Linked DNA regions of Drosophila melanogaster. The protein of the gene in region 2 interacts with the protein of the main gene of each other region in a pairwise test. Each region holds a gene or a part of one and is shown on either strand. Other genes may lie near its edges.

Region 1 (4,823 bases), on a different chromosome or scaffold from region 2:
GTGCTCATCGATGTGGCATCCTCTGATGGCGCACAAGAAGCTAGCTTCCGATATGTGCTCTCACGTAGCCAAACACCCGTTTCGAGTCTTTATCGACCGCTGCCCGGCGAGACACGATCCTGTTTGGAGCACTCCCTGGAGACGGAACGACAGGTGGGACTGCTCGCCGAGCGCATCGAACGGGATGGCGGCATCGCTCTAATCATGGATTATGGCCATTTTGGCGAGAAAACCGACACTTTCCGGGCCTTCAAGCAGCACAAGCTGCACGATCCGCTGGTGGAGCCGGGCAGTGCTGATCTCACGGCCGATGTGGACTTCAAGCTAGTGCGGCACATTGCCGAGACACGCGGAAATGTCCACTGCTGCGGTCCCGTGGAGCAGGGACTGTTCCTGCAGCGAATGCAGGGTGAGGCTCGACTGGAGCAACTGTTGGCACATGCGCTGCCCGAAAACCAGGAGATCATTCGCTCCGGCTACGAGATGCTCACGGATCCAGCCCAGATGGGCACTCGCTTTAAGTTCCTGGCCATGTTTCCCGGCGTGCTAGCTGCCCACCTAGACAAATACCCAGTCGTCGGATTTAGTTAGTTATCTATTTAGGATCTGTTTGTAGGGTTTTAAATATGTTGCACATGATTGTTGAACAAAAGTACGAATGTTATTTCTTCTGGAATGATGCATTGATCGCCTGCATCTCTGCGGCGGTGAACTGGAGCACCGCCGAGATGGCGTTCAGCATGTGACGCTTGCCGTCCGCGTCCCGGGTAACAATGTAGCTGATAATAACGTTCTTCAGGTACTCCAGATTGGCACCCTCGCGCGTCTTGCAACGTTCGAGTCTAGAATGGGAGTAGAGATCGTGGCATGACTTTCTAAGACAACAACGATAACAACGACAACGACGCACCTGTCCACCTGCTCCTTGAGGCACTCGATCTTCTCGTGCATTTCCTGCTGAGATGTCACCTTGTCCTGGATCGCCTTTCGCAGCGTCGACTCGGCGGCGTATTTGGCTTTCCGCAGTGTCGTGATTTCGATGTCCTTGCGCGCCAACTCGTTGGCATAGTGCAGCATGTGGCAGTTCTCGCCCATCGACATTTTCTTGGAGCGCACCTTTAGCTTTCTTTCCCGCTGCTCCCCCTCCACGCTGTCGGTGTCGGAGGAATAGTGAAAGGAATCGGCAGCTGCTTCAAGTGTGGGTGTGGCCAGTGTGCTGCCCACACCGCTGGCCGAGTGAAAGACCTCGAAGGAGGTCTGCAGTGTCTTAATCTCCTGCTCCTTCTCATCCAGCAGCTGCAGTGACCTCTGGCGCTGCTTCTGCAGTAGCTGTTCCAGCTCGTTCAGTTTGCAGCGCGTCTCGTTCTCCAGTTCAGCCTTGGCTTCCTGCCACTTGGTTCGTTCGTTCTTCAATGCCAGGCGCAGCTTTTCGCCCTGCTGCTTTAGTTCGACTTCCGCCTCGTCGATGTTGCGATTGAGCACCTGCACCTTCTCCTGCAGCGTTTGGATGTGCGAGTGCTGCAGCTGCACCTTCTGTTCGAGTAGCTGTCGCTGCTGCTTGGATGCCTCGAGCATTTGCTGCACACCCTGAAGCTGTTGCTCGCAGTGGGCGTGACTCTCGACTCGGGTAGCTGTTTGGCCGCTAAATGATAGGATCTCCCCGAGATCCAGTGGATTGGCAGAACGGGCATTGGCTGTGGTAAGCAGTTTCTTCAAGCGCACCATCTCGTCAACCAGCGTGGCTACGTCCACATCTTCGTTTAGCGCCCTTGAATTGGATGTTGGACGCACATGTGCCTGCTCTAGATCCTGCAGCTGCTGCTTCAAATCATGGATGCTGTCCTGATCTTGCTGACGCAGGCGGTCGTAGCTGCCGACAGTGGTGCTGAGCTCCGCCAGGCGTGCCTCTAGACTGGCCACGCGATCCTCGTGCAGCGCCGCCTGCCTGCGACTCTGTTCCTCGGCACGCAGCACGCGACGCTGTTCCTGACGAATGGCCACTGCATGCTGCTCCTTCAGTTGCTGCATCTCAAGGCGCACTTGCTGAAGGAGAGCGGCGCTGTCCGCACTCGCTGACGCTGCTGCAGAGTGCTCGGTCTTGGCCTGGAACTGTTTCAGCTGGGAGCGAGCCTCCTTTAGCTGGGATTGCAATTCCCGTAGCCGGCTATTCTCTGCCTCGTTGCTGGCGAACTGGGTCTTGAAGTTGTTTAACTGCATCTCAATGTTGTCCTTTAGATGCCGCTCGTCCGCATAGAGTTTCTGCAGTTCGCGGATCATGAGCATTTGGTTGTTGGTCTCTTTCTCGCGCTCCTGTCGCTCCACGATCCACTTGGCCTTGATCTCGTCCACGTCGCTTTTGGCCCGAGCAGCCTGCTCCTTGGCCCGGGTATTAAGCTCCTGAATGGTCTGCTCCTTTTGGGCGATTTGGCTGCGCAGTTGCTTTTTATCCGCCTGAAAGGAGGCCTCCATGCGGGATTTCTCAGCGGAAAGAGTGGCCAGCGAGTTCATCAGGGTGATAATTTGGGTCTGCAGTTGACCCTCGGCCGGGGGAGCAGGCGGACCCGGTGCAGCGCCCTCGGTTGCTCCATCCGCAGAGTCGGTGCTGGTTTTTTTGGACTCCAACTCCCTGGCCGGCGATCCGGACTCGCCCACCGCCGTGGCCTCCGCATGCGCCGCCAGACTCGTCTCCAATGCCTCCTTCTCCTTAAGCAGACCCTTGTAGGCAGTGACCACGTCTACAAATTGGGCTCATTAATCCATTTGCATTGCGAATTCATCTATGTCTCACCTTTTAGACGCTTTTCATAGCGCCCCAGTTGCTCCTTTTGGGTGGACACCAGCGCCTCCAGCTCCCTCTGTCGCTTCTCCATTTCGCCTTGAAAGGGAATTAGTTCATTTACTTTCAGTTCGCTTAGTAGTTCAATTTATTTATCTCCCGTGTCATTTTTGCATTTCTTTTAATTAACAAATTTCAGCAGCTGGCACGCGGGCCTGCCAACTTGTCATGTTTGCTCAGGCACTAAAAATTGCCATCATTCTGATTTAAACTTTTTTTTATTTTTGCGGTTTTTCAAAAAATAATTAATAACCAAATTTACATAAATTAAAAACTATTTTAAATGTAAATGTATTATAAATCAGCTGCATAGTTGCTAAATTGAGATATTTTCAAACATTAATATTAGTCCAATTAAAGTAAATTAAATGTTGAGCCTAACTAAATCTTATTTCATTCGCCCTCCTCGTCCTTCATCATCTGCTCAATGAGTCTCTTACGTTCCTCAGCTTGGCGCAGCTTTCGCATGACCAGGTCCTCGTAGTCGGTGGATGACGCACTGCACCCAGTGGTGGCCGATTTGGTTGTCTGCTTGTCTGCCGCCGGCGGCGTTACCCACTCGAAGTGCAGCGGCTTGGCGGGATCGCCTTTTTCGTAGGCCAAGACCATGTCGCAGGCTTCGCGCGTGGCCAGCTCCACCATGGCGCGTCCGCGTCGCTTGCTGTTGACCACCAGGGCCACCACGTCGCCGTACTTCTTCAGATACTTGAGCAGCTCTTGCTGTGTGTAATCCTGGCCAGGTTCGGCCTTCCACTTCATCTTGATGCGATGCTGGGCGGAATCAAACTGGACCGGCTGTTGCTGCAGTTTCTGTTGCTCCGCGTGATTCCGCCGGAACTGCTCCTGCATGGCTCGCTGCTCCTCCTCCAGCAGACGGGAGCCCTCGCGTCGCAACCGCTCGATCTGCTCATGCAGCACCTCCTCGTCGCTTTTGGCCACCGTGCTGTAGGGTTGGCTCTTCGCCAGTTTGTGCAGTGCCGCCCGTTCACGTTCCTCCAGTTCCAGCTTCAGCTTCTGCCGCTTCCCGTCCAGTTGGCGACTCCTCAGCTCCGCCGCCTTCTTGGCCTTCAGCACTTTGTCATAAGCTGCGCGCGCGGATTCATCCGTGAGGATCTCCAGAGCCTTGGACAACTCATGGAAGCGCTCGACTGCCTTCGGATTGTCCGGATTCTTGTCGGGATGGCACTCGAGGGCCTTCTTGCGGTACGCCTTGCGTATCTCATTTTGATCAGACTCGAGAGAAATGCCCAGAAGATCGTAAAGATTCACGTCACTGTACTTTTTGCTAGCCATTTAGTCTTATTTTACTCCTTATTCAACAACTGGAACATGGGTTTGTTTTGCAGTTTGTCTTTTTTGGGCAAAAGTTAGCTAAAATATACTATTTTATACGAGACTTATTTCACAACTGCAGCCGGCGGTCCAAAAATGTCCAAATAAAACATTTGCAATTGTTTACTGGATCAGCTGTTCGCTGCAACGAGTTGGCAGCCCCGCAACACAACGTGCCCATTTGTTTGGCGTGGATTAATCTAAGTTATCGCAAAAAAAACTCAAATATAATATGACCTTTAGGCGCTGAATTAAGCTGAAGGTACGTCATGAGCATCTATCACGACGAGGTGGAGATCGAGGACTTCGAGTACGACGAGGAGGAGGAGATGTACTACTATCCCTGTCCATGCGGCGATCGATTTCAGATCTCCAAGGTAACGAGTCGTATACGCAACCTTTTTTTTTCTGGACTCCCCATATCACTTGGTAAATTTCCACTTTAGGAGGAGCTAATCGAGGGCGAGGAGGTGGCCACCTGTCCCAGCTGCTCCCTAGTCATCAAGGTCATATACGATCCGGTAAGTGACTCATTCAGAAATACACCTAGAACTCCCCAGAAAACTCAAGCAATCTGATTTTCCGAATTTCAGGAGATGTTCAAAGCTGAGGAGGATGAAGAAAGTGCGCTGAACGAGAAGCTCGGCGACCTGAA
Region 2 (4,293 bases):
AAAAGACCACAACGTTGCGAAAAAAGTTGGTCTGGGAACACTGTCACATGCGCGAACAAATTTGAAAAAGATTTTTCCAACTTCTTTACATTACATTATTTAATTTGCACTACTAAGAAACAAGTAATGATTAAAGAATTAAAGGAATTACCTGTTGTTGCCAGACCGATGAGGCCACCAATATTTATGGAAATTTCCAACAAAATCTAGATTGATTGAGCACAACTACGAAGGTGTAAAACAACAATAGAAATCGTCGCAGCTAAGTTTTGGGTTATCTATCAAGTGGACTAAACTTTGCGAAAAATTTAATAAACGAAATAAAGCACATATATGTAAACAGCCGCCAAATATGCCGCGAATTCTTTTATTGTAAAATTGTAAATTTTGGAAACCGTGCAGCTACGAACGTTTGTGTATCACACAGGTTGCTTTTTTGACAATTGCTTCAAGACTCCTTTGATTTAACAAAGCGGAGAAATGTGCATAAAAACTCTAAATCGATTAGATTAGACAAAAACAAAGCCCAAGCTAACCCTTGATTAACCAAATGCATGCCGTCCGTATTAATAAAAACGTTTATATTTCAAGTTTTAAGTATATGTATAGCTTTTCCTTTCGTATTTGTGTATGTGGAGTTATGTGTTGTATGAGTTAGGAGCGCAGAATCTCGGCTACGTATACCTCGTGTGACTGGCTATCAATTATAGGGGCGAAGTAAACATAATTTGGAAAGAGGGGTTCAAACTCAATCTTCACTAATTACCGTGAGTCACCGAACTAAATATTAACTTAAAAGCGATTAACTATATGTAATTAGAAAAAAAACGCATTGTGTAAATATACGTAACTGTTTTGGTTTTTTAGCTAAACTAGACGATTAAACAAGATTAAAGAGTCAACAAATTGGTGTTTAGGGGGGAAAAGGAGTACTGGTGGGTCATACGATACAAATCAATGTACATAAACAGTATTGAAAATAATAGACAATGAGGTCGGGGTGAATCAACAACATGATGACTTTTCCGGCTCTGCTACGACGAGATTAAAGTCCAGACTATTGGGTCGCGAAAAGCCAGACTTGATGCCGTCCCATCCATCCTCCGCCTTATATTCGCCGGATCGAATGCGGGCGTACACCTCCTGGGTGACCATGCGAAATGCCTCCTCCACATTGGCACCAGACCGGGCCGATGTCTCAACGAAATGCAGACCGTGCTGTTTGGCAAATTTTTGTGCCTCCTCTGTGGTCACCTCCCGGTGTCCGCCCGCATTGATGAGGTCCAGTTTGCAGCCGACCAATGCGAAAACGGGGCGGTGGGGCTCAATGTGACGCTGTGCCTCCATCATCCACAGCGGTATGTGCTCGAAGCTGGCGTGATTCGATATGTCGTAGACCAGCAGCACGCCAACCGAGTTCCGGTAGTAGGACTTGGTGATCGAACGGAAGCGCTCTTGGCCAGCAGTGTCCCACAGCTGGAGCTTGATCTGTGTGCCGTCCTTCATTTCGATGAGGCGGGCAAAGAAGTCGACGCCAACTGTGGGATCGGATAACTGCAAAATGTAAATATTGTGTTATTTATGATTAGGTGGATTCTTGGGAGGCAGTAAAAAGAAACGCAGTTTAGAGCTGTAATGCTTTTGAGAACACTTTTGATTCCACACAATTCATGATATCTCTATGTTTTTAAATTTCCCGCGCAGTTATTTGAGTATCCCTGGTCCTATTTTGGACTTGTGTGTTGTTTTTGCTGCCTGCATTATCAGGCGAGCACACAAACATGCACACCAGCACACACACACACTGACAAGGTGACTAAGGCAGCATCTTTTTAAAATCCACTCCCTTTGTCTATTTTTTGTTGTATCTCGCCCAATGCAATCACTTAATTATGTAATGAACGCATTAACTGCATCTCACGAAGATCGCACAGTGGGCCAAGCGTCCAAGTACAGTGGCCAAAATCGTTGGACATACGCACCTCGGCGAATTTGCCGTCTGTGAAGAATTTGAGCAGCGAGCTCTTGCCCACGGTGCTGTCGCCGATTAAAATCAGTCGAAATTGATACTCGAAAATGGGTTCCACCATTCCGAAGCCGAATTCGAGGGATTTGTCTCTTGGAATTGAATCCGCAGCAAAAAATCTGCCTTCCCTTTGTAAAGTTTGATACGCAAATCGTTGATTTGCTTATGCTGCTCGTTTTTCTTCTTATTTCCTGCAGTTGTATTGCAAATCGAAACTTTCTGTTCTTCACACGATTACTGGCTTTGCAATGAGATATTTCCGGCTGTCGCTGGTGGTTGTTAAATTATAAATATTCGAGAATTCAAATTCCTTCGAATTTTGTTTTGTTTTGTGTTTTTTTCTCATATGCGTGCGCGTGTGTGTGATAATGACAACGTTGCCAGACCAGCAAAAGTAATCGATAGTAGCCACAATGAAATTATTTCATTACCATTATTAAACAGTTATATCTTCTAAATTATTTAATAAAAATAGTGTCCTCACATCAATTTGGCAGTTTTCAGATTTTTTAACAAGCTTAGATGTATTTTTCGGCGGTACACAAAAACTAGCTAGACTTGGCTTGAAAACGGTAACCGGCTAATGGCAACACCGCCAGTCTGGCACCGCCGCCCAATAGAGATGGTCAAAGAACGCGATTTCGCGTGACACGATGAATGCATACAAATGTAGTTAGTTTAAATTGTTCTGAGAAAATATGACAAAAAAAATAAAATAATCTTTCATATTAAGCTAATAAATTTACAATAATTACACAAAAAGATTTGGCCTTGTACAGTGCTTTGACACATAAATTAAGACGTGCGTGTTCATTTTCGTTCTAGGCTGTCTCGTGCAGAGAAAAACCCATCGCTAGTACGCACTGTATTTTCTTTTTACGTTTGTTTTCCGTGAACACCGTCCGCTTCGTATTTCACAGCACACAAATGTACAAACAAGCCGCCGGCCAATCAAAAGCAACAGCGGAAAATAAGATCCCTTTGTCAGCAACCGGCAACCGGAGTCGGTGAATCAGCCGGAGGCTCCGGGATACGGAATCCACCACGTTCTCCTCCATCTTCTTTGCCTACTCCTCCCCCGATTTGGTTACGGAACCAATATCATTACCGTTAATTATAGCCACAGCGGGGCGAGAGCATATACAAAATCTCCATATAGATGTTCAAGTTCGTGCTGAACGACGCCGCCAGCTACGTGCGATCCAATGTGCGGGAGTTCAGTTTGAATGCACTGCGTCTGCTGCCGCAACTGCCTCAATTGAGTCCATACGATGTAAGATTTGGGGTTCCTGGCAAGTGTCATTAGCAAGCTGGGCAGGGTTCGTAAAATGTAATCAGTTTGTAAGATCTTCGATCGAAAGTACTTCTTTACTTATTAATTATTTTGGATTTTTCCTATTGAAGCTACTTTTAGAAACCACAAATCTATGCATTACATCCCTAAGCCGTTTAAAAATTTAACTATAAAGCCTGCATAATTTTCTGAAGATCCAATAACTACTTTCAAGGGCTTTCAAGAAAGTCCCGAGTGTTTTCCTATAAACAAAGTGAACGACGTCGACCCGACTGTATTCGATTTTCCATATTCATATTTCAACTACAGCAACCATTTATAATGCCTTTACTGAGCAGTTAATTTCATTTGATCGTTTGCACTGGACAAGAGTCCATACCAAGCGGCTTAAGAACAAAATTTTTAGGAACCGAATAAGAATTAACTGATTAATAACTATTACCATGGGAACCTTTGTAATTCCCACATAAAGAGTAAGAATCTGTATTAATGTAAACTATTTTCACAGGTTAACCTTGTTCTGAGGGAGAACGAGTTCGTTTACAACTTTCCCGTGGATGGAGTCATCCGCAGCTATGAAACAAATCAGCTGGGATCAAACTGGCCCTGCGAGGATTCCCGCACGGAGGCCAGCTTCCTGCACCGCAACGGCTTCATTTGTGGCATTTTCGACGGGCATGCGGGAGCAGCATGTGGCCAAGTGGTGTCCAAGCGACTGCTTCGCTATGTTTCGGCGGCCACGCTGCCGCGCCAGGTGCTCCGGGAGCAGATGAAGCAGGGTGCCGACAGCCAGTCGTTCCTCAAGTGCCACAATGACAACGTGGACTTTGTTAGCATGATCAAGCCCATGTACGAGGCTAGTTTCCTCAAGTATGTCAATCAATTGTTAGAGACACCGCAACGGGATGTATCCAGTGAACTGGTGAACGCCTTCCTCCAGCTGGATGAAGAGATCTCGCAGGAGGCTCTGACC

Evidence for each region.
Region 1: the proteins of Rab39 (region 2) and GCC88 interact in a two-hybrid assay, tested with the Drosophila melanogaster proteins (2 studies listed by BioGRID).

Annotation. Positions count from the first base shown.
Region 1 is NT_033777.3:11,227,580-11,232,402, forward strand, and holds GCC88 (GRIP and coiled-coil domain containing 88 kDa), read right to left. Parts: upstream 3,022-4,823; 5' UTR 2,871-3,021; coding exon 2,789-2,870; intron 2,736-2,788; coding exon 911-2,735; intron 843-910; coding exon 662-842; 3' UTR 592-661; downstream 1-591. Other genes in the region: CG17726 (uncharacterized protein), read left to right, coding at 1-591; CG17187 (uncharacterized protein), read right to left, coding at 3,230-4,129; Dph3 (diphthamide biosynthesis 3), read left to right, coding at 4,438-4,545, 4,615-4,689, 4,762-4,823.
Region 2 is NC_004354.4:7,733,025-7,737,317, reverse strand, and holds Rab39 (Rab39), read right to left. Parts: upstream 2,396-4,293; 5' UTR 2,091-2,395; coding exon 1,983-2,090; intron 1,555-1,982; coding exon 1,006-1,554; 3' UTR 562-1,005; downstream 1-561. Other genes in the region: Pdp (pyruvate dehydrogenase phosphatase), read left to right, coding at 3,186-3,299, 3,829-4,293.